Rhinolophus ferrumequinum: one gene and its partners. The main gene of each other region encodes a partner of the protein of the gene in region 3 in a complex. Links are inferred from orthologs where the notes say so. Each region holds a gene or a part of one and is shown on either strand. Other genes may lie near its edges.

Evidence for each region. Proteins that work in one complex are often made in the same cells at the same time.
Region 1: SART1 (region 3) and LSM4 share a complex: the UniProt entries of both Homo sapiens proteins name them as parts of the U4/U6-U5 tri-snRNP complex. The link is inferred for Rhinolophus ferrumequinum from reciprocal best matches to the Homo sapiens genes SART1 and LSM4.
Region 2: the proteins of SART1 (region 3) and UBL5 are in contact, whole or in part, in a crystal structure (PDB 4PYU), measured with the Homo sapiens proteins. The link is inferred for Rhinolophus ferrumequinum from reciprocal best matches to the Homo sapiens genes SART1 and UBL5. Residues at the interface, in NP_005137.1 of Homo sapiens: Ser117, Leu118, Ser119, Ile120, Thr123, Leu126, Arg127, Leu130, Leu132, Lys133, Leu135; in NP_001041706.1 of Homo sapiens: Met1, Glu3, Arg15, Lys17, Cys18, Asn19, Asp21, Asp22, Asp26, Lys29, Leu30, Ala33, Gln34.

The regions. Positions count from the first base shown.
Region 1 is NC_046301.1:51,124,288-51,133,449, reverse strand, and holds the start of LSM4 (U6 snRNA-associated Sm-like protein LSm4), read left to right. Parts: upstream 1-6,162; 5' UTR 6,163-6,308; coding exon 6,309-6,311; intron 6,312-9,162. UniProt on the Homo sapiens protein: Plays a role in pre-mRNA splicing as component of the U4/U6-U5 tri-snRNP complex that is involved in spliceosome assembly, and as component of the precatalytic spliceosome (spliceosome B complex).
Region 2 is NC_046301.1:40,256,608-40,264,314, forward strand, and holds UBL5 (ubiquitin-like protein 5), read right to left. Parts: upstream 2,001-7,707; 5' UTR 1,895-2,000; intron 1,629-1,894; 5' UTR 1,618-1,628; coding exon 1,562-1,617; intron 1,380-1,561; coding exon 1,296-1,379; intron 1,168-1,295; coding exon 1,130-1,167; intron 671-1,129; coding exon 627-670; 3' UTR 501-626; downstream 1-500. Other genes in the region: FBXL12 (F-box/LRR-repeat protein 12), read left to right, coding at 6,935-7,038, 7,162-7,234. UniProt on the Homo sapiens protein: Ubiquitin-like protein that plays a role in cell proliferation and sister chromatid cohesion by associating with spliceosomal proteins. Participates thereby in pre-mRNA splicing by maintaining spliceosome integrity.
Region 3 is NC_046294.1:5,875,598-5,887,062, forward strand, and holds the start of SART1 (U4/U6.U5 tri-snRNP-associated protein 1), read right to left. Parts: upstream 4,663-11,465; 5' UTR 4,582-4,662; coding exon 4,269-4,581; intron 2,411-4,268; coding exon 2,353-2,410; intron 1,970-2,352; coding exon 1,914-1,969; intron 1,435-1,913; coding exon 1,308-1,434; intron 1,185-1,307; coding exon 1,079-1,184; intron 824-1,078; coding exon 746-823; intron 616-745; coding exon 516-615; intron 429-515; coding exon 286-428; intron 192-285; coding exon 1-191. UniProt on the Homo sapiens protein: Plays a role in mRNA splicing as a component of the U4/U6-U5 tri-snRNP, one of the building blocks of the spliceosome. May also bind to DNA.

The DNA of each region.
Region 1 (9,162 bases), on a different chromosome or scaffold from region 3:
GAGCGACTGCTCATGGGGACCAGACTTCCTTTTGGCGTGATGAAATGCTCTGGAACTAGATAGAGGTGATGGTTACAAAGAATGGTGAATATATTTAATGCCACCGAACTGTACGTTTTAAAATGGTTTAAGTGTTGGACCAGCCCGGTGGCTCAGGTGGTTGGAGCTCCATGCTCCTAACTCCGAAGGCTGCCGGTTTGATTCCCACGTGGGCCAGTGGGCTCTCAACCACAAGGTTGCCGTTCAACTCCTTGAATCCCGCAAGGGATGGTGGGCTGCGCCCCCTGCAACTAGCAACGGCAACTGGACCTGGAGCTGAGCTGCGCCCTCCACAACTAAGACTGAAAGGACAACTTGAAGCTGAACAGCACCCTCCACAACTAAGATTGAAAGGACAACAACTTGACTTGGGAAAAAAGTCCTGGAAGTACACACTGTTCCCCAATAAAGTCCTGTTACACTTCCCCAATAAAAACATATATATATATATATATATATATATATATATATATATATATATTATATATTAAAATAAATTAATTAATTAATTAAATTAAATGGTTTAAGTGTTAAGTTTTATGTTACCTATGTATTTTTCATCACAGTTTTTAAAAAGCCAGTGTGGAAGAATTTATGGAATGAAAAACAAACGCAAAAGAAAGACAAATGCACACAAATATATTTGCAAAGGCAGCAAAAACCTCAGAAAGGAAGAGTAAGAAATTGATAACACGGGGGCGCTTTGGGGAGGGAACCAGGATGTGGGGAGGGAGGGTGAAAGTGGGGGTGGAAGGGAGATACCGCCAACATTTCTTGCACCATGTACATCAACTACTCAGAAACAAATGTACAGACACTTGCTTTCAAAAAATCACTAGAGTTTTTTAAATTGTGGTAAAATATACATAACATAAAAAGTACCATTTTTAAGTGTACAGTTCAGTGGTATTAAATACATTCACATTGTTCTGCAACCAACATTCAGAACTCTTTTTATCTTGCAAAAGTGAAACTGCCCCCGTGAAACACTAACTCCCAACCCCCCTCCCTCAGCCCCTGGCACCCACCCTTCTATTTTCTGTCTCTATGAATCTATCGTAGGTTATTTACATAAGTGGAATCATGTAGTATTTGTCCTTTTGTGATTGGTTTAGTTCACACAGTATAATGTCCTCAAGGTTCATCCATGTTGTAGCAGGTGTCAGAGTTTCCTTCCTTTTAAAGCCTGCATAATATTCCATTGTATGGATGGACTATTTTTGTTTCTCCATCCATCTATCCATCCATCCATCAGTGGGCAATTGGGTTGCTTCCACCTTTTGGCTATTGTGAATAATGCTGCTATGAGCATTGATGTGCTAATATCTTTTAGAGACCATGCTTGCAGTTCTTTTGGCCACTCAACTTTTGTAACTTTTTTTGGAAATAGTTTAAGACTGACACAAAGTTGCAAAAAAGTAGTACAGTTTCCCTGAACCCTTAACTCTGCTTCCCCCAGCGAAATGGTCTATCTTACTAACTAACCACTGTCAAAACCAGGAAATTGACATTAAAACAATGTAATGGACTCAGGTACCACCGCTGCTTTCCCAGAGTTTTGAAACCAAGACATTTCATATGTAAAGAACTGTTCCTTTTAAATTTTTTATGAATTTTCTTAGTGAGAGAATGGAGGGCGGCAAGTATGGTGTTTAGAGCCAGCTGGCCTGAGTTCAAATTCTGCCTGGCTCATCACATGGTGCGTACTCTTAGATGAGTTATTTTCCCATTCCAAGCCTCTGTTTCCTCAACTGTAAAATGGGGATTAAATAGTGCTGCAAGCTTTTTATATTGGAATAAGTTCAGATCTACAGAAAACTTGCAAAGACAGTACAGAAACTCCCCTATGCCCCTTACCCAGCTTCCCGGAATAAGAAGATCTTATCAGATGCATTTGTACAAGAAATTGACCTGGGTACATTGTTTTTAACCAACCTCCTGATGTTGTCTGGATGTCACCAGTTCTTCCACTCATGTCCTCTCCCTGTTCGTAGACTCTGTAGAAGGAATCCCGAGTTACATGTAGTCATCACGTCTCCCCAGTCCTCTTTTGTCTGGGATGGCTCTTAGGTCTTTCCTTGTTCATGATCTTAGTCTTGGAGAGAGCTGGCCAGGCGTTCTGCAGAATGCCCTCCATGCTGGTCTGTCTGATATTCCTGCCATGATTAGAATGGGGTTATGGGTGTTTGGGGAAGACCACAGAGGTGAGATGCCCTTCTCATCTCATATTATCAGGCAGGGATCCCTGATAGCCACGACTTATCACCAAGATAAAATCTGGATCACTTGGTTCAGGTGATGAATCCTGGGGCTGCCATAACAAATGACCACAAACTTGGTGGCTTGAAACAACATAAATGGATTCTCTTCAAGTTCAGGAGGGAAGAAGTCCAAAATCAAGTGTCAGCAGGGCCACGTTCCCTCTGGGGACTCTAGGGGAGGATCTTTCATGGTCTCTTCCAGCTTCTGGGGGCGCCTGGTGTTCCTTAGCGAGTGGCTGTATCACTCCAATCTCTGCTTCTGTCTTCTCTGTGTCTCAAATCTCCCTCTGCCTTTCTCTTAGAAGGACACCAGTCATTGGATTTTGGCTCTATCCTAAATCCCAGACATCTCTTCTCATGGTCCTTAACTTAATTACATCTGAAAGGACTCTTTTTCCAAATAAGGTCACATTCACAGGTTCTGGGGGTTAGTACTTGGACATATCTTTAGGGGGTCACCCTCGACTCACTACATGTGGTATCTGCCAGGTCTCTCTACCATTTAAGTCTCTATCAAGTTACTTTTTTCCTCTTTCTCTATTCTTTAGAAGTGAGTCACTGAGTCCATCTTTGGGGGTTTTGGGGGGAGGATTTACATATAATTCTTTTTTAAAGTGTGTTGTCCAGGACCCATCAGCTCCAAGTCAGGTAGTTGTTTTAATCTCGTTGTGGAGGGTGCAGCTCACAGCGGCCCTTGCGGGGATCAAACTGGCAACCTTGGTGTTATGAGCACCGCGCTCTAACCAACTGAGCTAACCGGCCGCCCCTACATATAATTTTTAATGAATGAAAAATATTCTGTCTAGTGGATGAACCATGTTTTACTCAACCAGTTCACCGCTGTCAGACCTTTATGTTCTTTCTGCTATTTTAGAATTGGCAACATTGCTGCAAGACCTCGGCAGAGTGGTTCCCTTCATTTGCAAGACCTCAGTATAAATGTTCAGAAAAGGGCAGGACAATTTTATGGGCTTTGAGACATAATGCCAATTTTTCCCCCACTTAAAAGGAAATATATATTAACTGGTTTCACTACAACCTTGCCCTATTTTCTTTTTTTTTAGTGAAGGGTAGGGTAGTTTTTTGAGTGTGATAGGTACATTAGTCCTCATTCTTTACATTTCTGCTGTCAGAAACACAATTGAAACTGGAATTTAAAAAATAGTATTAGTACAAGGGATAGGTAAAGATAGGATTTATGAAGCATCGGATACAACTGGATCCAGGATTAAACAGGGCCAAGACTCGGAGGTGGAGAGATGGCCATTTCTGTACCTGACAAACATTACCCCAGCTCTGCAATTCCAGCATCATCCCAGGGAAGCCTTCTGATTGGTTAAGCCTGGGTCATGTGTCCATGATGAGGGGGGAGGAGGAAATATGCTCAAACTGCCTCAAATAGTGGCCCATACAACCTCTCATGTTTTTAGCTCCTACATGTCAGAATCCAGAAGGCCTAAGTGTGCAAATGAGCAATTACAATGTGGCACAAATTGGGTAATGATGAAAATCAGTGCAAGGTACTGAAGTTCAAAGTATAAGAGAGGGAATGATTTGATTTGGGGGGTCAGCCATTGAAGAGTTCATGGAGTAGCTATGCGTTAGTGCAGGTTATGACACCTGCCAGAGACAGAGTCCAAACTCTAAGTGGATTAAGCAACAAAGGACAACTTCTTGGACTCATATAAGTGGAAAGTCAGATCTAATGGTTTCAGGTATAGCTGGATCCAGGGGTTCAAACCATGCATCCCTGTCCACTGAGTAGCTCTTATGTATGTTGGATTCTTGTGTATACTGGATCCTGATGGCACTGGGCTTACACTTTCTCACTTGTAAATCTATTTCACTAAATAGGAATATCTCACTATTTCATCATCTCACTTTTAACAACCTCCATGGAAACCACTCTTCTCCCTCCCAGCCCTCAGTATCCTTCTCAAGGGAGATTCTAATTAGCCCTGGTTGGTCACATGCTATCAATTTAACCAATCACTACGGTCAGGGGGACAGAAAACTCTGATTGGCCATCTCTATGTAGAAAGGACTGACAAAAACAGAAGTTACCAGAATCCACCACAAGGGGTCACCCAAGCAGAGTTTTCAAGGATAAATAGGAGTTTGCCAGTTGGGCAAAAAGAAAAAGCCTCTGCACATAGAAAAATCTAGAAAAGTCAGAAAGGGGTGAACCAGCACAAGATTTTCTTCCTACTTCCACCACCATATTAGTGAGGGGACATATCCTGTACCCAATTTCCGTTGTTTACATCAAGTGGCCTTTACCCTGGACAAACAAGCCTTGGCTGGTCATCCTGATCCCTCTAACCCAATTATCACATCACTGTTGGGTTGGCCACTTACCAGCGTCCTGCACACATCCCAGGCCTTGCCAGCTTCCCTGGGAGCAGCCCTGAGCTGATGACAGATGGGACTTAGAGAATAAATGCCCCAGCTGCCCTGACCACGGATGGGGCCATGATGAAACATGAGTTCTTATGCTTCTCCCTGAGGTCCCCAGCTGGACAGACCCCCAGTTGCCTTTTGCACCACCTACCCTTTGGTGCCCCCTGCAGGGATCCTTCCCTCCCTGTGTCAGGTCTTCACCCCCAATGGGGGCTTCCAGGAGTCACCCGCTATGTACACTTTGTGCCCTTGAGTCCTCATCTCAGGATCTGGTTTCTGGGGGAGGGAGTGACCCCAAACTAAGACATGAAGGACAACTGTTGGTCCTGGAGTAATGGGTGCCTTGTACTTTATCTGGGTTCCACATTTGATCAATCCACACAGTAACTGGTTATAAAGATATGTCCTAACATAACGTGTAAGTTCTAAGTCCCGGTACCTGTGACTATGACCTTATTTGAAATAAGATCTTCGCAGATGTAATTAAGGATCTTGAGATGACATTATTCTGTATTTAGAGTGCGTCTATTAAGAGAAAGGAGTATCCTTATAATAGAAAGCAGAGGAAGATTTAGACAGACACAGACAACACCATGTGAAGACAGAGACAGAGATTGGAGTGATGTGTCTACAAGCCAAAGAACTACAAGAATTGCCAACAACTAGCAAAAGCCTATGGGCCTGGGCTGAATTGTTCCTCAGAACCTTCTATAGGAACCAACACTGCTGACAATTTCGATTTCAGATTTCTGAATTAAGTTCTATTGTTTTAAGCCATCCCGTTTGAGGTAATTTGTTACAGCAGCCCAAGGAAACTGATACATATGCCTATTTATTTTGTTTACTGTCTGTCGCCCCAAAGGGCTCCTAAGCCTGAGGAGGGCCAGCTTTGTCAGGTTTGTACACTTGTGTTTCTAAGAGCAGGCACATAGTAGGTGCTCAATAAATATTTATTGCACGCTTGTGCATTAAGTGCTTAGTATGTGCCAGACGCTGTCCGAAGTGCTTTCACACAGCTTAAATCGTCTCATCCTTACTGCAACCTTCTAAAGCAGACACTATCATTACATCCATTTTACAGAAGGGCAAACTAAGGATCAGAGGAGCATAGTCTAGATTCCAATTTACCAAAAGACGTGCCTTAGACAGGGATCAACTACAATAATGAGAATCAGAAGAGTAGGAGCCCGAAGTTACTTCCTAATAACCACTAAGCCTCAGTTTCTACATTTGCAAGCTGCAAAAAATAATCAGCTTTGCCCACAGCGTGGAGCCCAGAAGAGCTGTTTCACTTGCGCATGCGCCCTTACCCACAGGCTTTCGGCCCCGTTGCACGTCGCTCTGCCTCCCTTTTGCAGCACTCACTGCGGCACTTTACGGCTTTCCCCATATTCTTGGCAGAAACACGGCCCGCACCGCCCCTTGTGCTTAGCAGGCCCCGCCCTACTCCTCGGGGATTAGTTGCCAGTCCCTTTAGCCCCGTGCTGACTGGTTCGCGTTGCTGCCACTCCAGTTTAGCCTAGTGGCGCGCGGCGGTTCGGCTACTGGCGGGCGCGTGAGCGGCGGCGGCGTCGGAAGTGGCCGGCGTGCCCAGTCCCCGCCGATACCATGGTGAGGGCAGGACGATGGCAAGGTGTCGCCGGGAAGCAGGGGATGCGGCCATTGAAGGCTGTTGGGGCGGGCGCTGGGGCAGGGGCTACGCGGACCGAGCGTGCAATCCGGGCCTGATTCCTGCCCCTCGGCCTGAGGCGGGGAAACTGAGGCCGAAGAGGGCGGGAGGGGGCTCTCTCAGGCACCCAGTCTCTGGGAACTTAGAGTTGGTATCAGTATAGCGGCCTAGCTGCAGTCTTCCCATTTTGCAAACGAGGAAACAGGCCGGAGCAGGTGGGGCCCGGTGAATGCAGCAGAGTGAGTTTTCGGGCAGGGAAGTGGCCCCGAGCGCGTCCTATCCAGTCTAATCTCATGTTTGAAAGCTGGAGCGCCAGCAAGTAGGGGCCCGCCTGAGTTCTCAAATTAAGCCAATTTGGGGGATTTCAGGGTTTGCAAGGCTCCTAGAATGTTAGCACAACCCCCTATGACTGTCGTTTTCAGGCTGAAAACAGACGCAGAGAGGGGGTTTGCTTCTTTGGATCACACAGCGTGTCATTCATTCCAGTGGGAAAGGGGGCTTTTTGAGCCAGGAGTGCACTAACTGCCCCCTTCCAGTTCACAGAAGGAAAACTTGAGGCCCTGACAGAAAGCCTCCAAGGCCAAACCGCTCACACATCGTGGAAGTTCTGGATCTAGGCCAGAGTGACCATGCCCCGGTGTGTAGACAAGGAAATGGAGGCCCCCACAGAGGGATTCAAAGTTGGGTCTCCTGGAATTGCGCCTGGCCGGTCAGCACTTGAGTCCCTTTGACAGGGTTGCCGCATGTTTCTGAGAGCCAGGGGTTGGTGAGGTTTCCTGCTAGCTCCTGCTGGCTGGATCCCTCTGCTGGAGGGCAAAGTGGGCCTGAGGGAACGACTGGACGGAGCTTTGTTAAGCTCCATGGAGGCCAGAGCTTTGTTTACCCCTGATAGAGTCCCAGAGTATAGAACAGAGCCTGTGCAAAGTACAGACTCGTTTCTTTAATCCGAAGAGTGTCCACCAGTGGACCAGGCATGACACACCCTTCGTGCCCACCAGTGGACAAGGCATGCTCACACAGCAGGGCGGGAAGCAGGGGTCACGGTGTGTATGTGGGTGTGATCATTGACAGTTTCCTGAATTGGGAGCGTCAGGAAACCTTTGGGTCTAGTCCTGGATTGAGCCAGACCTGAGAACCAGACCCCAGACCTTGTGAGAAAGCCCAGAGAAAGGAATCCTGTTTCCTGAAGCTTTTCTGACTTTCCCAACTCCACAGGGTCTTGGGAAAGATCCCATCTCCCCTGAACTGGGTGTCCGGCCCGCTCCTGTTTCCCTTGATCCCTTCACACGTCTTCTTCCTCTTCCCCACCAAGTTTTAAGTTTTCGGGGATCCTCCCCTTCCTCTTTTCTGTCTCCCGCCCAGTTTGGGGATGATAGTATAGAAGAAGGCAAGACATGGCCACTGCTCCACGCTGCTGCATCTGTGGAGAGCTATCCGGATGCCACCTCTCCAGCCTCTCCTTTCCTTCTTTGTGGGGTGGGGCGAGCATCCCACCCACCCCATGTACCTCCCTAGGCAGTGCGTGCGTTTCCCTCATGTATTTGTTCAGCAAATATTTACCAAGTCCCTCTCGTGTGTGTGGCCTCATGCTGGGCGCTGGACAAAGTCCACACCTTTTGAGTTTTCCAGTCTAGCAGGAGGCGTGGTGTTTCAAGTCTAGCCAGGGAGACAAGTAAACAAGATAATTAGAGACTGGCTGCGTCCTATAATGGAAACAGCAGAGGGTGGCCCAGGTGGAAACCTCATTCCTTCGATGGGGTTATGAGGACCTGGCCAAAGGAGGTGACATTTGAGGAACGACCAGCCTGCGGAAGGGAAGTGTAGGAACAAAGGTTGGGCGGCAGGACTGGATGGGCATGGTGTGTGAGGAGCAGCGTAGGCCCGTTTGCTGGACCTGGTCAGGCCTGGCCTGGTAGCCCGTCTGGGGAGTGTGTGCCAGGCAAGTCAGGGGAGGGGTGGGAGCAGGTGCTGCTGCCTTCTGCGTTTCAGATGTCCTGTCCGCTGCTTTGTGGATAGGGAATTGCCAGGACCCAAGGAGGCCGTGGGTCCTCCAGGGCGGTGCTGCCAGTAGCTGGGATGAGGTGGTAGCCTGAGAGGCTGTCGCTAGCATAGAGATTGTGAATGCCATAAAAGGACATCAGTGGTCCCCTGCTGACAAGCATCAGCCTACTTTCACCGGCTTTACCAGGACCTTGCTCTGTGTCCTTGGGCCGATCTCTCTACCTCTCTGCGCTGAGTCCATCTTCATTCTCACCTTCCAGGGCTAGCCTGACTCTGTGCCCTCTGTTGATGTAGGAGGAGGACCCGAGTGTCTCATCACCTTGGGCTTGATTCCCACTGCCCAGGAAAGCCCAAAGTTTCTCCACAGTAAAAGGCGACCTGGGTGCATGGCCCTGCATGCGGGTCTGAGCCTCCAGTTTTTCCTGTGCAGCCTAGGCGCAGAGTCACACAGGCGTACCCAAAGGAGAGGGCCGGAGCTGCAGGTTGGTCCTCGTTGGGGTCCCAGTCTGCCCACCCACCCGCCCTCCTTGGAGCAGCTGCCTCTTCTCCACATGGCCCCTTCTTCCTCCTTATCTTGCCCTTCCAGGAAGCCAGTGCAGGAAGCAGGCTTGGGCCTGGTTTCCTATCGGCGCTGGACCTCCCCTGGTGACCTCTCAGGGAAGGCCTGTGGGAAATGGGACCTGTCCCCGCCCAACAAGCCGTTCATGGGGAACCACCCTGTAGGTGTTGAGGACCATTTCTGACCTCCACTGGAGAGGCTTTCCAGTTCCACCCCGTGGAGAAACAGCTGGC
Region 2 (7,707 bases), on a different chromosome or scaffold from region 3:
ATGCCACAGTCTTGCTCTGTCCACTAGGATTTCATAAGCGCCAGGAACTGTAGATGTTTAACCATGTTTTATCTCATCTATACTTCACGACAGGACAATAAAGTAAACACTATCAGTTGCAGTTTGGAAAAAGAAATGAAGGCTGAGGGAGGGTAAGTAACTTGCCCAGGGTCGCTGTTGGTATCAGAGCTGGGATTCCACCCAGTCTGTCTGAATCCAGAACCTGTATTCCTAACTATATGTACTGTCCCTACCCAGAGGCTCCTTGGTCTATTAGGATGAGAATAATCCCAGGATCTCTTGCCCTTCACAGACCCATGGCAAGCCCCAGAGGTCGGGGCTGCTACACAGGCTCCCAATCTACTCGCTTACTCCTCCCTCACTGAACCCTCACTCAACCCTGGGCTCTTACTGAGTAGTTGGGTACTGAGAGTATAGTGACAACCAGATATCAAGCTCCCCTCATTAGATAGCCCTCACTCAAAGATGACAACAACGAAGCTGCTTCTAAGTTTTTATTAACATGACTTTTTAAAAACAAGCATCCATACCAGTGTGGGGGGTGACGGTGGGAGAAGTAGGGGGTGACGAGAGGGGAGGGCAGGACAGGGGTAAGGAATTCTGCTCTATTGGTAATAAAGCTCCAGGTTCATCCCATCGTGGATTTCATCTGAAGTAAAGGTGTTAAGGAATCCTTGTGGGCTCCATCCCCACCCCTCTCATCTCTCTCAGCTGGATCACGGTGCTGAGCGCTCCACTGAGGGCCAACCAAGCCATTATGGACTCTGTCATTTTGATCTGGACAGAATCAAAACTATAAAAAAAAGTCCATGCTGCTTTTGCACAACAGACATACTGGAGTCTCACTCCACCCTGACCTCCTGTCCACACTAGGTGGAACTCAGTAATAAGTATTTTGACCTTAAAGTGTCTTCTAAACCTCAAAATATTTCACCATTCAACCACCTTCCTTCCCCAACAAAATAATTACGTGACTCCCACTTTGTAAATGCTTACCACATACTAAGTTAAGCACCTTATGTGCATAATCTCAGATAGACTCAGTATTTAACAAAGAGAACCAGGATGGGTATGTAGATCCTTCCTCAAGAAATCACACAAAGGATACAGTCCCCCAGAGAAACGTGGTCCTTAAAAATCGTGTACCTAGGGGACAAAAACCTTTCAGACAGAGACCACGGAGGCAAGCTGTGGAAGCCCTGCCTAAGCAAAGGGCTGCCTGCAGCACTCCCCCGGCCCAACAGTCCAGCCCCCAGCTCTGCCACTGCACTCACCACTTCTTTAGTACGATCTTGTTCCAACGGGTACCAGTTTGGGCTGCGATGAGCTTCTTAAGGTCCCCGATGGTGTCATCGGTGCTGGGAGCAGAGGAGTTAAGGAAAATGGAACGGGGAGGACGACACTGCAGAGCTGAACGCGCTCTGCCAGGACCCCATTCGCCCCCTCTCCCGCGTTTAACTAAAATCACCCTCAAACACACACTGAGATGCCTCATGCCAAGCACCCCACAGACTACTGCCTTTTGGCCACCCGTGGATACTTGCACTTCACGCGGACCTTCTTCCCCAGACGGTCGTTGCAAACCACCTCGATCATCCTGTCGGGAGCTACACGGGGAGGGGGTTGGGAGGCAGCAGAGTCAGGAGGTCAAGGGTCTCCCAGACCCCAAAACCTCCGGTTATTGAGACTCCTGTTCACTCCCCAAACCCCCCAGACCCGAGTCCTCCGGGGCCCAAGTTCTCGTCCCAGGACGGCGGATCCCAGGCAGCCGCGCCTCCTCCCTCAGGTCGCTTCTCGCCGGCCGGTGGACCGTAGGAGGGCGGGTCCCATTAGCTTTCCCCGACTCCGGAGCGCCCCACCTGGCCCCCCTCACCTCGAAACGCCTAGAACCTGCCGACGCCACAACCTCCTCGCTGGAGAGCAGAACCAGGACCAGGGTCTACGCTGAGAACCGGAAGCGGAAGTACGCGGCCGAAAGCGCCCGCCCCTCCTTGTGCCTATCAACATCCGGCCGGTTCTTTATCGTCCCAAACCTGGCGTGGGCTTGAGGTTCCTAGGCGCGGCTTTGGGGTCCGATCCTGGGCAGGGGGACACTGGGGTCGGTTCGCAAGGACAGGGGAAGGCGCGTGGAGGGAGAGTCAAAGGTCAGGGGCCGGCGCCCAACTCATTGAGGCCCCTTCGCTGTGGGGAGACACCGTCAGTTGGTGGGGACTCCATAGGGACCTGGGGGACATCCGAGAGGGGTGTGACCTCCCGTTCCTGAGCCCCACGAAGCCTCTTGCTGCACCAACAGGGCTACGGGGAGCCAGGTCGAGTCCTGCAATCATCCCGTCCAACTTCTTGCCCTCATTCAGGGTTGGGTCTCGGAAGCGTTTTGCTCACCCCACCCCTCTGGCAACTGCTTCTGCCCCCTCGGGCCACCTGGGGTTAATAAGCGGAGGAGCTGCCTGATCCTGACCTCTATATCAGCACTTATTAGAATGGAGTCCACGTTGGTCGCGAACCTGCAACACCGAGGAGGAAGGTGGAAACAACACACGTGCAAAAATCTCCCAGGTCTGTATCTTCAAGAAAGGTCGTCCGAGCCCTGGGCGGGGGGTGAGTGTGGTGTGTGCACTTTGTAGGAGATCTCAACCTTGCCTGGCAGCTCCTGGACTGCTGGTGTGGTTCCCCAGGGCTGGTGGGACAGAGGGGCACCTTCCCTAAGTTCTGTGGATGAAAAGGGGTGCTACGGAAAATAACCTAACAGGGTGATCTGATCATAAATTCCTAACTGGGCAGGTCATGGTGAGTAGTCATGCCCCAGACGTATGACTTTTTTAGTAAAAGGTTTATCTTTGCCTTAAGTGAGCCCCGTTCATTGTTCCTCATCTGTGGAAAGGGGATAGTAATTCCCACCCCAAGGACAGGTCCTGGACCAGCCCCTGACAGTCCTGTAAGAGTCTGTCTGTGGAAGAACAGATGCAGCAAGAGGCGAGGTTGGAAGGTCAAGGGTGAGCTGAGGGCACTGATGTGCCCAGGAAGTTTGGAAGGAGCTTGTGTTTGCATTCACATGGAAATACAGGGTCACACAAGGTGTTGATGGTGCTTACCACAAGATGGTGCACTTGTTGAGGCTTATTTTTCTCTTTGGTGCTTTTGGTGTTTCCCCAGATTATCTACAATGAACATATGTAATTGGGGAGAGAGGGGAGTAAATGTTAGCTGTTTATTTCTTTATAAATTCTAATTTCTCGGTGATTCAAAGATAGCTCAAGCACAGGATGACGATGCTGAGTTATGGGCTGGGGTGGTTTGGAAAGGGGTGGGGAGTGCTGCTGAAAGAGGAGGAAAATAAAGTCTGGATGGCTGGGAGTTTGGTCTCCATGAGCTGGGGTGGGGGGGTGAGGGGCTGCCAGCTCCAGTTGGGCAGAGCCATCCTGCGGAGGAGATGGGGTGGGGCAAAGGGAAGTCCTGGAACTAGACTGCCAAGGCTGCGCAGACTCCTTACCCTGGACCCAGGTGAGAGGGGGAGAGGCCTCAGGAGACAGGACATCTCACGTTAGTGACGCCTCCCCACCTCCTGGGAATTATAACTTGGGGCTTCCCATGAAGGGCCAGGGCAGCCCCATCCCCATCTCTGGGTGGTAGTAAGATCTGTTGTCAGAGCTGCTCCTTCTGGGGGAGGTAGGTACTTCCCAGGAGGGAGAGTTCTGGGTCAGGACCCAAAGAGCAAGCTGGGCAGGTCCCCTTCCCACCTTTGTTTCCTCGGTTTCTGACCCACAGTCAGGAGCTTGGATGTGGGGATCCCTTCCCTCTACCCTGCAGACGGGGCAGGAGATGGTTCTTAGGAACCCACTGCAACTGTGCCAAAGGCAGGGATACCTGGGTTCTGGGTTCACTAGAGGGAAATCATCTTAGGTTTGGAGGGAGTTGCTTTCCCCAACATCTTGGCCTGTCAGCAGGCCTTGGAGATACAGCAGTGACTAAGGCCGACCTGCCACCCCAGAGTTCTGATCGAAGAGGGAAGACAAGAAGACAAGTGAAGAGGTCGTTGCAATACATTGGGACAGGTGCTTTGAAGGGGAAGCCTAAGTGCTGGGAGCCAGGGAGCTTTGCCTCTGCATGCTGGCGTGGGCTTTCCAGAGGGAATCACGACTGACAGACTGTATAGAGCACTGTGGTTGAGGGCCATGTGCTGGCATCAGAAAGATCTGGGCTTATGGCCCTGGCAAGTGACTTCACCTCTGTGCAGTTCCTTTGATCTTTCCTTCCACAGTGGACAGATGGCTGCCAGAGCAGGAAGCATTTTTTCAGTGCTCTTGTTTGAGGAAAAATGTCAAACGTTTGATTTATTAATAAACATGTAGAATTTATGTTTTTTAAGGTAATACTTGCACATGGTAAAAAGTCAAGCAGTACAAAAGTATATATGCAGCACACAAAGTCTGCTTACCCTCTTGACCACAGTCCGCTCCCCAGGAACAACTACCCTTAAAAGTTTCCATTTTCTAAAGATAGTCTCTGCATCTTCAAACATGTGTGATACTGAATCTCCCAAGAAAATGATAAAACCAGATATTAATAACATGTTTCAATAGAGATAGGGACCTTGTAGTTTCAAGTAACATACAATATTTTGTTATGTCAAAGGACAGAAGCAAACAACTTAGTTTTATACAGGCCTTTATGTATACAGTGAAACACATCATAAATTGTGTATTCATTTTATTGGATATGTGTGTGTGTGTGTATGCATATAATACACACACACACATATATATATTCAGTGAGATCAAACTATATGTACTGTTCTCTACACTTTGTTTTTTCAAAAGTGAACAATATCCTATAGATTGTTCCAAGTAGCACAGAGTGACCTACCTCATTCTTTTTGACAAGCTGAGGTCCTAGAAATGGGATTGTTGAGTCCAACAAAGGCTGCAATCTGATATTGTCAAAGTGCCTTCAAAGAACTTGCCTTAGTTGTGCTCCACGTGCGGTGGTTGAGAAGGTCTGTTTCCTACACCAAGGCCAAGGTGGTATTTGCTGGCTGCTTCATCTCTTAATCTGATATGTGAAAACCATAGTGTTTTACTTTTTATTTATGGATAAATGTGAGCATATAGATCTATTGTTTACCTTTATTGTAATATAATTGATATACAAAAATTGCACACATGTAATGTATACATCTTAATGAGTCTTGCATTTCTTTTTAAAACAATTTTCAACATCTCCAATTCCTGCTTTTGCATGTGTTTATTAAAAACACCATTGTAGGCTCTTGGTGTGATTTAGCAAAACCTTTTCAAAAGCACCCGTCAAAAGTAAACTTCATGTGTCCTCTGAGCCATCAAAGTGTCTCCTGGTTATTTATCCTGCAGAAATAAAAACGTAGGCGGTGTATGTATGCATACACCTAAATACTATGAGGGAGGAAGAAACTTACTTCTACTTTCAAGGTTCTTTTTGCTGGTCTAATAATCAAATAGACATGAGACAGATTAGCAAGAGAAAATAACCAAATTTAATACATACAGTTCGCGAACTCATCTAGAAAAAGTGCTCCATACCTCATTACTGAATATCACTACGGTCACCTTTGAAGTACTCCTCTTGGGAAGCTATGCACTGATGCCAGTGCCCAGTCCACCCTTCAAAGCAATTTTGGGACTCTTTCTGGAATGGCCATCAGAGTTGTTGTGGTATTACCTCTGATGTCCTGAATGTCATCAAACTGTCTTCCTTTCACTATCTCCTTTATCTTTGAGTAAAGAAAGAAGTTATCGGGGGCCAGATCAGGTGAATAGAAAGAGTGTTCCAATACAGTTATTTGTTTCCTGGCTAAAAACTCCCTCACAGACAGTGCCGTGTGAGCTGGTGCATTGTCGTGATGCAAGAGCCATGAATTGTTGGTGAAAAGTTCAGGTCATCATTTTCAGCACTTCCACATAGTAAACTTGGTTAACTGTCCAGTTTGTGAATAATCACTCTAAAACCAAAAAAAGGTTAGCAACATTGTTGCAACAAGTTCATGAACTTAATTGTCAGAATTTTCCTATATCTGGGAACCCCACATACCTGAGAGAGCACAGACCCCACATGACCAAGTAGTACAGAGATAGCAAGGGGCATTGGGGTACATAAGACACTCTGAACTAGGGATGAGGTAAAGTGCCTTGGGGGACTGCTAAGGGTCATTACAGGATGATAAGAGCAGATATTTAGTAAACAGAAATTTGCTGATATATAAAAGAATGCCCCAGTGTTGTTTGTGGTAACAAATCTGGCAGCAACTTGAAATAAGGGAATGTTTCAATATATTTCACTACCCTTACGAATTGCTGTTTTAAAAGTAACATTTGGTGGAAGTGTCAACACAGCCTCTGTGACCAACAATTTGGCCCTATCAATCAAAACGAAAAATTCAACACGCCCTTTAACAGTTATTTCACTTCTATAAATATATCCTCGTGCATATGCATCAAAAAGTATTAAGCACTAAAAAGTAGAAGTCAAGCTCTCCGACACGTCCCCTTTCGTGGTCCCGCCCCCAACCCCGCCCTCAGGGCGCTTCATCACCTCAGCTCTGCCTCCCGGGCTCCGCCTTGGTCCCCAGCTGTGGCCTCCCAAGCCTCGTCACAGTCCTGCCCCACGGCCTGGTCACCGCCCTAGCCACGCCTCTCCAACTGGGTCTTCTTGTAGCCCCGCCTTCCGAGCTTCATCCAAGTTCAAAGCCACGTCTTAGGCGGGGCATACACAGCCCCGCTAGTCTAGCGCAGGGACTCAACCACCTTCCTGCAAAAGTGAAGCTGAAACTCTCGGCCCGCTTCCGGAGGCCGTGGCCATCGCCCTGCCGACACTCCCACTACCTCTGCCCCCTTGGAGCGCCCTCCGGGCGCGTCCCAGACATCATTTAGCCGGAAGTGAAATGCACGTCGGCGGGATCATGGCAACTTGGACAGACCTGCCGGACTCGGTGCTATTGGAGATCTTCTCTTACCTCCCGGTCCGGGACCGGATCCGCCTCTCCCGGTGCGCCCCCCGCTTGACCCTTCGCTCCCCACCCCGCCCACTCCGCGGGGAGGCCGCACTTGGAGAAGCGGATCCGGTCTCAGCGGGGTCGGGGTTGCTTTAACGGCGGGTCTCCTTCCTCAGGGTCTGTCACCGTTGGAAGAGGCTGGTGAACGACCGGTGGCTGTGGCGACACGTCGACCTGACACTCTACAAGGTAAGTGGGGCCGACCGGGCGGGCCTGGGCCGCAGTCAGGTGGCCGGACCTCCACCCTGGATTCCGAACCAGGCATACCGGGGCGCGTCCTGGCCCTGTCATTTACCTGCTACTCTGCGACCTCCCGCCTCAGTTTCCACGTCTCCAAAATGAAGATAACTGAGATTGTGCAAGGAATGGGCTTAGAGTAGTGTCTGGGATATATATAGCAAACATAATATATGCTGGCTGATGATTAGATAATCACTTATTATTGATGAGTTTTCGTGGGGAAATCATTTTTCATAGTCAGCTTATTTCCAGAATTCTCTGAGTAGTGCAGCCGAAGCTTTTCCGCTTTCTACCATTTGCATTTTATTTTTCTTGTTTTCGTTATGAATTATTTCAAATATATAGAACTGTATAGAGGATAACATGGTTTCAAATCACAAACATGTACTCACTGCTTAGCTTTAACCTATTTTAACCTTTGG
Region 3 (11,465 bases):
AGGTACTCGGAAGCGAGCCGGGGCCCCACCGTGCTCAGGGACTGAGCCTGCAGCCGCAGCTTGGCCCGGACCTCTTCCAGCTCGCGCTCCCGAATGCCATCGGCCATGCCGCCCTGGTCTAAGCGGAAGGAGTGCAGGCGCTCGCCCTCGAGCTCCTCATCGTACTTGGACAGGATAGAGCGGGGTTTCTGCTGCAAAGGCAAGAGGTACAGGTTGGGACCCAGCCTGGCTCCCCAGAAGCCACAGAGCCACCCACTCCTCCCGGCCCCTACGCCGCCCGCCTGCCTGGGCCAAGTCGTCCACGCTCTCGTCCTCTGCATAGGGCAGGTAGTCGGGCTTCTTCTTCCGCAGCTCCACGTTCTTCTCAGCCCGCTCCTTATCCACGAGGTTCACATTCACCAGCACGTCCTCCTCCTCCTGCAGCACGCCTGGGGGCAGGGCAGAGGCCATTCACACACGCCCTCGACTCAGTAGCACCTTGCCCCCAACCGGATGACCCCAGCCCCCCAACCTACCCTTGTCCTTGAGGGTGAGGACCACAGTTTCCCCTTCTTGGAAGGACTCAATGGCGTGCTCCACGGTGAGGCCCTGCAGGTCCCGGGCACTGTACAGGTCCTAGAAGGGAGGGGGGAGGTCCCGCCGAGTCAGGCGCCCAAACCCCCCAGCCCTGGGATCCCAGCACCATGGACAGCAGTGCCTCCCACCACCACCCTACAACTCCCCACGGCTGCCACAGCAGCCTCACCTGCCGCCTCTGGCCGAACTCCTCCTCCACCAGAGTGCTGACACCAAACTCTTGGTCCATCTCCTCCAGCAGCTTGGCCTATGGGACAGGAGGGGGAGTGACCCAGGAGCTCAGGCCATTCAGGACCAGAAGACACGCATGGCCTTGTCAAGTGGGAGCACACAAATGGCAGGCCTTGCAGGCAAGCCGCTGAGAACCCAAAGCGGACGCCACTCCATGGACCTCCTACCTCTCTGAGCCCGGCCTCACGCCCCAGGGGTGGGATTCCTGCCTCACCAGCCTGTGAAGCCACCAGCGGCCCTGAGCAACCAACCCCGCTGCCTAGGCCCTCACCCTCTTCTCCGCCAAGTCCTTCTCCTTCTGCAGCTGCCGACTCCTCTCGATCCAGGCGGTAGTGTCATCCAGCCAGGGGTCGTCCTCCCCCAGTGCCTTGATCTTCCTGAAGTGGGAAGAAAGTGACTCTCTGGGGAGCCCCGCTCCTGCTCCCCCCACCCCGACTCCAGAGCTCCATGGCAGCCTCCTCAGACCCTTCCCTTGTCCTCCCTGGCTGGGACCCCCTTACCCTAGCTTTTGGTTCAGGAGGCGCTTTTCTTTGGCAGCTGCCAGCTTCTCTCGTAGCTCCTCTCGCTGTCGCAAGGCCATAGGATTGATGACATCGGCTGCCACGGGCTCCTCCTTGGTGCCCGCCTCTGGAAGGAGGGCCCAGACGTGAGGCTATGCCTGCCCATGGCTGGTGGGGAGAGGAGGGAGCCACTCACCCTGCCCCCTTCCAGCTCAGGTGACCAGAAGGGGCCAGGAAAGGGGGGGAAGGATCCTTTACCTCCCTACACCCACTTTATTCCGACACTCCCATGTCACCCCACACAGCATGATGGGAACCCCCTACCAGGCCTTCCAAAGCCACTCAAATCATGCTTAAGAGATAACCAACACCTGCACAGCCCCGATCAGTTTGGAGCAACTGTGCACATTTCTCAGCCCATCTACCGCTACCACACAGCCAGAGTGAGGAGCCATGCCAACTGTGCAAACTTCAAGAATAAGCTGAGCGTCAGATCCCCATGTGACAGCAAGAAGGAAGGCCCATGCCTACTGGCAAGCACACACACACATGCTCCAACCCCACTGTCTTCAAAGACCCCTCCGATGCCCTCAGCCCCATACTTACCCTTCTTGACGGCATTGACCTCCAAGGGTTTCAGCCCCAACTTTGCCCGGAGTTTACTGAGGGTAAGAGATACAAAGGTTAAGAGCTGTCAAAGAGATGGGGCACCAAATGCATTTCCGGATAGATGGGGGATGAAAACAGGACGGGGCAGAGTGGTCCTAAGGGTCCCCAACACAGGGCCTGACCCTGGAAGCCCAGGGCACTGGGAAGGACACAGGTCTCCCAATCAGGGAACACAAGTGCTCCGCCTGGCTGGCCCTAACCAGTGGAATGCCGTCCTTCCTCTAAGGCCTTAGTGTCCTCTTCTGTAACACAAACGGTGGGCTGACGTGATTTATATGGCACTTCCAATGCCAACCAGCACACTTTAGTGTGCGGAAGCCTCCCCAAGCGACTGCTCAGAAGAAAAGACTGCAAACATACAGGACACAGTACTCACTTGGTCTCCTCGATGCTGAGTGACGAGGCATCTCCTGAGCTGCTTTTGGAGCCGGTAGCTGGAACAAGAAGCACGACTCAGGAGGCGAACGCAGGGCCAAAAAGCCACAGCCTTCGCTCCGCTGCACGGCCAACGATAAGGGCCCCTCACCAGCACCCGGGGCTTGCTGAGACACCAGAACACGGCAGCCTCTTCCCACCCCAGCAAGTCCTTCTCCCTGAGTCCCAGTCTGAGAACCCCGCCTCTTCTAGATCCCTTCCTTTCCTCACCCCAAAGGTCCAACTTTCTGCATCCCACCCTTTGCCACCTCTCCACTGTTGTATATTCTGTGTTTTCAACCTGCACTGCCCTCTCTGGCCTCACTGACTGACAAGTCCTATCCAAACGCCAAGATCAATCGCCAGCTCTTCCGTGAAGTGCTTCAATTATTGACCAGAATGAACTGCCCTCCCCAAACCCCACAGCACGGTCAGTCATGTCTGGGTCTGTGGCTCTCCACAGGGCAGAGACCATGTTGGTAGCATGACCATGTCAATAAACACGTTACTGGTGCTTGTCCCCTGCTGGATGTTGGGGATACAGCAATAAAAAAGCATTTCAAACTTCCTCCACCCACCTCACAAACAGCAAATACCTTTGCTGAACACCACAGCCAGAAGCTAAAAACCGTCAGGTGGAGCTCCCCCAACCAGCTGCCACCACAAGCTCATCCTTGCTGCAACTCGCCCCCAGCCTAACTCCTCCCCTTTTATTCCACCTGGACCCTGGATCCCAACCCTTCCAGGCACTCTTCAAAGTCACCAGCTTCCTTATTTCTAAAACCAATGCATTCTTTTCAGCTCTGGTTTTGCTTGATCTCCTGTAGTGTGTGACCCGTCTTCTAACAATCCTCTTTCCACAAATCTCATGACAGAAGATTCTATGGTTTTCCTGTCTTTTTGGCTATTCTACTTCCTTTCCGGTAGCATCAGGCTCCGCTTACTACTAAAATACTGGCATTTCTCAGGCTCTAGTCCTGAGCCTGACTTCTCACTCCCCACTCTCTTCAGGAGACTTCGCATGCCACCTAACTACTCCTGACTCCCAAATTGCTGTATCCCACCCAAACCTGGTCCTCCCAGGTTTCTCCCAAGCACATCAAACACAACACTCTGCAAAACTGAATTCATTCTCTTCCCCTAAATGCCTCTTCCAAACTCAAGCTCAGTAGATGACGCCACCACCCACCTAATTGCTGACACCAAAATTTGAATCCTCAATCCCTTCTTCTCCTTCCCACCCTCATCCCACCCCCATTCCTCCTCCAAAACACTTCTTCAGTCTTTCCACATCTCTCCATCCCCCTGCTGCTGCCTTGGTGCAGGCCAGCATCAGTCCTCACCTGGTCTCGTTTTGACTACCTTTGACTTAGTTTTGGATGCAGTCAGTGATCTGTGCAAAATAGGATCAACTCACTCCCCAGCTCAACTGCACGGCTCCCTACGACCCTCAAGACAAAGTTCAAATTTCATAACAGGGCACCTCGTGTTTGGACCCCTGCGGATCTTACTGCTTCATGTCTCTACTATGAGCCCTACACGATTTGCCCAATACCTGATTTTCTCTTGCCTCTGCACACCCTGGTACCACTTCATTCAATCATTCATTCATTCACTCATTTACTCACTCACTCAACCCATTTACCGAGGACCTGTGATATGCCAGTTGAAGAAAACACAGAAAAATCTGTTCTCACAGATCTTAGGAGAGAGAAACCACCATTAATCCCAAACAATGGTAAGAGGACCCTTTAAGAAGTGCTGACTAAGAGAGCCCGCGGGTGCCACGGCCTGGAGTGCAGGGCCGGCGTCCGGCATTGCCTCCACGCCCAGGGCCTGCCAGCCCCGGGATCCCCCCGCGCACGCCTCGCCCCTCACCGGTCTCGAAGCCGTCATCGCGCTTCTCCCGCTTCACGCGCCGCTCGGAGGGCTCGGTCTGGCTACGCTCCCGCCCGTGCGCGCCGCTCCGGGTCTCGGCCTCAGCCCCGCGCCGCCCGCCCCCGCGCTCGGTTGCCCGCTCCCGGCTCCGCTTCCGTCGTTCGCCGCCGCTGCCGCCGCCGCCGCCGCTCCGATGCTTATGTTTTTTGTGTTCCCGGTGCCGCGGCGGTTGCTCGGTGGCGCCCCCGGTGCCGGCCGCCGCCGCCGTCGTGGCTGCCTCCTTCTCCCCGCGGTGCTTCTTTGACGATCCCATAGTGGTCCGGCCGCCCCGTGCCCGGCCGCCGCCGAGCCCAGACTGCGCAAAATGGGAACACTTCCGGGTCGCCCGCTGTCGTGTAGCCGGAAACCAAGAGCGGCTGCTTCCGTCCTTCGCTTCAGAGCCGGCCCCCAAAGGCTTATGGGAAGGCTGGGGTCGACGTCCGCGTGCACAAGCTCGGCCACCTCGGGCAGGGTGGTGGTCCGATTGTGCATGGGGAAGGCGGCGTCCCAGTGATGGGGAAAGTGAGCTAAAATGGTGGCCGGAGCGGAGAGAGACGTCCCCAGCCTAAGCCCCAGCCCACTTCCTCATAACCCCCTCCAAGCCACACCCGGAGCCAATCACCGGACCACACCTACCCCTTCCCCGACTGAAGGAAGTTCCTAACTCAAAAACCTGCTCAAAACCTTGCTAGGGGCTCAGTCTTTGGGAAGGATCCCGCTGAGCCCGCCGGCATAATAAAGCTGACCTTCCTAACTCTCTGAGTGCCGCTTAGGTTCTTCCGGTCTTGGTATCCGTAACATTCTTGGTTCCCTGACCTGGAAACCCAACCGCGCTGGCCCCTTGAGCCACCGGTTTGGGCCAGAGCAGACCGTAGGGTGGCGGGAGAGCCGGGGCAGGGCTAGGCGCGCCCTGCTCATTTCCGCCGGCCCGGGACCAGCGACCTCCCACCAGCTCCGGCCCGTGACTCCCTGCTGGACCCCAGTAGAGAGAAAGGACGGACAATCAACCAGGACATCGGACACGGTAAGACCCGGGGCCCGGGACCCAGTTAGGCCTGCCTAAGGGCAGAAGGGGAGCCTGATCACCTCCTGCTGAGTCCCACTTTGGACTCTAGTTAGGGCCATTCCGGGGGAGGGCGTCTTTCCTCCCGGAATGAATGTGTGTGTGCTTGGTCCCAAACAGGATTCTGTATGGATCCACTGCCTGTCGGCTACGGAGCTGGGGTGAGCCCCAACCTGCGTTCCATGGTAGCATCCTACGGCATATGGTGATTCGCACTCTCGGAGTGCGACCGAACCCCGGGCTTATACGGGCACACCTTAGCCAAGACGTACCCAAAGTTCCCGCGAGGAACACGGCCAGGCGGGCGCCTGATTGAGACCATTCCCTTGTCTACACTACACCGAACATCCTGGGAGGGAGTCACGGGAAGCCCAGGGTTCTAGACTGCATGTTAAAGAATTTCAGAAAAGGTTTCAGAGGCGACTAGGGGGTCAAAATGACCCCAGGACATCTCCGCACTTTATATGAACTGGAGTGGCCAAGTTTTGACGTGGAATGGCCCCCAGAAGGCACTCTTGACCTCCCCACGATTTGCCGGGTCTACATAGTTGTCACCGGGACCCCAGGATATCCATACCAGTTCCCTTACATTGACTCGTGGTTGGAAATAGGCCGAACCCTTCCTCCTTAGGTACGGTTCTACTCCAATAGTAAGGGACAGTCCAGGATCCTCATTGCACGGAACCCACAAGGCCGTGCCCAGAAAGACATGACTAAGACCATTTACCAGGGAGACCCCCACGAAGAGCCACCACCACCTCCCTACGCATCACGGCCAACGGCTGGTGCGGCCCCACCACTTCCAGACACTCCGCCTCCATCTGAGCCCCCCAGGCCGACACCCAACTTCCCAAGCCCTCCCCAGGGAGCCCCTGATCCTACACACCAACCCTCACTGGGGCCTGCTAGTTGACTTCGGTCCAAAGACCCGCCTCTGCTTCAGCTGACCCTCCAGGAGACCAGAAGCCCAGACCAAGTTGGAGATGACGGGACCCTCCAGCGAGGACACCCCGTCATCTACTACCAGCCTTTCTCCACCACTGACCTGTTGAATTGGAAACATCATACCCCAGCTTACTCGGAGAAATCGCAAGCCATGATAGATCTTATGGAATCTATCTTCCACACTCATCGCCCCACCTGGGAGTTCTGTCAACAGCTCCTCTGAACACTCTTCAACACCGAAGAACGCCAGCGGATCATATAGGGAGCAACGCAGTGGCTAGAAGAAGTGGCCTCTGGAGGAGTCCTGGATGCTGCCACCTGGGTGACCGAGGCTGCTCCAGACGCACGGCCTAATTGGGACTTTAACACTGAAGCAGGGAGAGGCGCAATCCGCCGATACCAAGATGCTCTCCTACGAGGGTTGCGGGCAGGAGCCCGAAAACCAACCAACATGTCCAAAACAGCCGATGTAACCCAAAACGGGGAAGAAACTCCTGGCAACTTCTGTGAACGTCTCTGTGAGGCGTTCCGGGTCTACACTCCATTTGATCCGGAAGCCCCCAAGAATCAGAGAATGATAAACACAGCCTTTGTCGCTCAGGCAGCTCCTGATATCTGCCGAAAACTCCAAAAACTCGAGGGGTTTGCAGGAATGAATATCCCCCAGCTCTTGGAGGTGGCTAACAAGGTCTATCAGTACCGTGAGGTTGTAGCTAAATGAGAGGCTGATAAGAGGATGAGAGGAAAAAGTAACCCTCCTCGCGGGTGCTCTCCAACAAGGAGGGGCTAGGCCCCGAAGAAAAGGGCCTCCCTGTTGGCAGACAGGCCCATGTCCTCGCGTCCCGCTAAAAGAAGACCAATGCACATATTGTAAAGAACTGGGCCATTAGAAAAACGAGTGCCCCGAACGACAGAAAGGAAAACCTCGGCCTCCCCGTGGTCCCAACCCAACCAGACCGGAGCCCGACTTCATAGGATTACCAGAAATCAAATCGGACTGAGGGGGACCGGGCTCGTTCGACCTCGGCCCCCACGAGCCCACGGTTGACTTAGATATATAGGGCCAAACAGTAACTTTTATGGTAGATACTGGAGCAGAACACTCGGTAGTCACCATGCCAGTGGCACTGCTCGGGGACTGCAGAGTTACCATAATGGGAGCCACCGGGGATCAAGCTAAGAGCCGGCCATTCTGCCAGGCTTGGACTTGTAAATTAGGAGGAAACACCATGTCGCACAAGTTCCTCTACTTACCAGACTGCCCAATCCTGCTGCTAGGACGCGACCTCCTTACCAAGTTAGGGGCACAAATCTCCTTCAAACCATCAGGTCAAGCCACCATGTCACTGCAACCCCGTCAGAGAAACTTATTCTGTCTATCACCACCCCAAGGGAAGAAGAATGGAGGCTTTCCAGGACCGGCAGTGTAGAAAAGAACCCAGAAGCCTACAGGGCCGATTTCCCAGAGGTTTGGGCTGAAGATAACCCGCCTGGGCTAGCAAAACACAAGGCTCCGGTTTTGGTGGAGCTGAGGCCTGGCGCTCAACCCCATCTCCAGGGAAGCCCGGGCAGGGATTCAAAAACCCCTCGCCCGTCTCAGAGCAGCAGGGATGCTCGTAGAGTGCCAGTCGCCATGGAATACGCCCCTCCTGCCGGTAAGGAAGTCCAGTGGAGAATACCGGCCAGTGCAAGATTTAAGAGTGATAAACCAAGCTACGGTTTCCCTACACCCCGTAGTCCCAAATCCATATACTCTCCTCAGGCAGCTGCCCCCAGAGGCCGGATGGTTCACCTGCCTGGACCTGAAAGATGCATTCTTCTGCATTCGGTTGGCGCCCCAGAGCCAATCACTGTTCACCTTTGAATGGACTGAACCTGATACCGGCTGGCAGCTCCAGCCGACATGGACTTGGCTCCCATAGGGCTTCAAAAACTCCCCAGCCCTCTTTGGGGAAGCACGAGCCTCAGATTTAGCCACCTTCCCTCGAGAAGAATACCGCTGCACTCTATTGCAATATGTGTATGATCTGCTCCTAGCCTGTGCCACCGAGACAGAGTGCCAAACCACGACATGAGTGCTCCTGTCCCACTTAGCCGAGACGGGGTATAGAGTCTCCTGGAAGAAAGCCCAGCTCTGCAGAAAACAAGTACAATACTTGGGCTTTGTCATCTCCAAAGGACAGCGGGCCCTCAGCACCGAGCGGAAGAAAGTCATCACTTCTCTCCCTCGGCCCACCAACCGGAGAGCGCTCCGTGAGTTCCTCGGGGCCGCCGGCTTCTGCCGGATCTGGATTCCTGGCTTTTCGGCAATAGCGCGGCTCTTATATGAGGCTCTAACTGGTCAAGAAAAGGCTCCCATGCTATGGACAGAAGATCAAGAACACGCCTTCCAGCAGCTCAAGAGCTCACTTGGATAGGTCCCAGCCCTTGGGTTACCTGATGCTGAGAGGCCATTCCACTTATTTGTCCATGAAAAAGACAAAATAGCCTTAGGACTGCTGGCCCAAACAGTTGGACCGTGGCTCCGTCCTGTCACCTACCTCTCAAAGAAACTAGATCCGGTAGCAGCAGGTTGGCCACCATGCCTGCGGGCCCTAGCAGCCAGTCTGATTCTCATCAAAGAGACAGACAAGCTCACCTTAAGCCAGAGACTCATAGTTAAGGTACCCCACTCGGTCACCACCTTAATGAACAGTCAAGGACCCCGATGACTGTCAAATGCACGGCTGACCCAGTATCAAGGGCTACTCCTGGAAAACCCTTGGATCTCGTTAGAAACTGTGCGTGCCCTGAACCCACCCACTTTCCTGCCAACCGAGGAAGGGGATCCAGAACATGACTGTGTAGAAGTTATCAACGAGGTCTATGCCACCAGGCCCGACCTCCGGGACAGCCCCCACCCTAACCTGGACCTTACTCTGTATACGAAGGCAGCAGCTTCCTGAGGGACGGAAAACATCACGTGGGGTACACAATAACCATCACAGATGAGGTACTTGAGGCAGGGGCACTTCCATCGGGATGGTCGGCCCAACGGGCAGAACTATGGGCACGAATAAGAGCCCTCACTCTATCCGAGGGCCGAAAAGTCAACATCTACACCGACTCTCGGTATGCCTTTGCTACTGTCCATATCCACGGGGCTATATACAAAGAAGGAGGCCTTCTGACCTCGGGGGAAAAACTATTAAAAGTAAACGAGAAATCCTTAAGCTCCTACAAGCCATTTGGCTTCCCCAGCAGGTTGCAGTTATCCTTGTCGGGGCCACCAGAGAGGCAACGAGCCCTCAGCAGTCGGGAACAGGCTCGCCGACCCCACGGCCAAATCAGTGGCGATGGGAAGCCCTAGTGAACTACTCTTGGTCACTGACACCACCACCACGTCCCTCCCGCAGTACACAAAAGAAGAACTCAGATGGGCAAAGTCAGAAGGGGCCACCAGATTGCCATAAGGATGGTGGCAACTGCCCGATGGAAGACTCTTCATCCCAGCCCTGCTAGGTCCTCAAGTAACCGCCGAATATCACAAGTTAATCCACTTAGGAAAAACTGCCCTTGAGGGCCTCCTAGCCAAAAACTTCTACATTAGCCGGCTGTCAGCTCTTTGCAAGCCCATCGGAGAACGCTGCCTCACTGGTGCAAAGAACAATCCAAAGTCCAACTCTAGCCCCATCCCCGGGATTCAGAGAAGCGGTACCGCGCCTTTTGAGGACCTCGAAATCGACTTCACTGACAGGACAAACTGCCGCGGTGCTAAGTACTTGCTGGTCCTGGTCTGTACCTACTCTGGGTGCGTTGAAGCCTTCCCCACTTGGATTGAGAAGAGCTGCGAAGGAGCCAAGGTTCTCCTCACTACGGGAGATTATCCCCTGCTACGGGATTCCACTTCCTATCCACAGTGACAACGGGCCAGCTTTCATAGCAGAACTCCTCCAGACGGTAACCAGCGCCATGGGCATCAACTGGAGGCTCCATACAGCATACCGACCACAAAGCTCAGGGAAAGCTGAACGCATGAAACGTACCCTCAAGGAGACATTAGCTAAACGCCACCAGGAGACCTCGCTAGGGTGGGTAGACCTCCTACCACTAGCCATCCTTCGGGCGCGCTGCACCCCTGGCAAATCTGGATTCCCTCCCTTCGAAATTATGTTCAGGAAGCCCCCTCCCCTGCTAACCAGCCTCCCTGGCAACATTCGTCAGCTGGGGTTCTCCAGCCTCCAAAACCAGATGGCCACGCTAGGCAAGGTCCTCACATATGTACGTGCTTACATTCTGGAAAGAGCCCCCATTTCTCTCGGGGCCCCGGTACACCCCTTTACCCCGGGAGATCAAGTTTGGGTCAAAGATTGGAAGCGCAAGCCCCTCCGACCCCGGTGGACAGGCCCTCACACTGTCATACTTGTTACTCCCACCACTCTTAAAGTTTCAAGCATTGCTCCATGGATCCGTCACACTTGAGTTAAAAGAGCCCAGCTGGAGGACGACTCCTGGATCGCCCAACCTGACCCGGCCCATTCACTCCGCCTGACCCTCAAGAAACAGCCAGGAAAAGCCTCGCCGTCGTCTGCCCAGCCCCCGTCTTCACTGTTACTGGACTCCTGTTGTTTCTAGCCTTTGCTGGTCTCGTTGCATCCTCCCAACCGAGCTGGTCACCACTGGAAAAGGGACTGTTAGGGTTCTACTTCCTGTTCTGCGCTGTTTGCCTCCTCTCCCTAACCTGTCTTAGGCAGCAACCATGATTTGGCTTTTTCTCATACTATCTCTTCTCTGGGAAGGACCTCCCCTTCCTGTCTCTCAAGCTGCAGGGGAAAATTCACTGGCCACACAGCCTTTTCATACTTTACCCTCATGCCCTCGGAGTGTTACACCACAGCCTCTGTCTACTACGATGGGTCCAAGCGCTATTGGACGGGAAAAATCACTAACCCTAACTGCCTGGGCACACTAGGACGACAGGCATGTTGGACCTATCTTACCCACATCGGTCACTCTGATGGGGGAGGAATCCAGGACCTGGCCCTCGCCCAACAAATCAAAGACAGGGTCCATCAGGTTGCCAACGTCTCTGTCAGGAATCGCCCCCCTTTATTGAGGTCTCAACCTAACCTCCCTGCAGAGACTAACCCAAGTCCCTGATACCTCGCTAT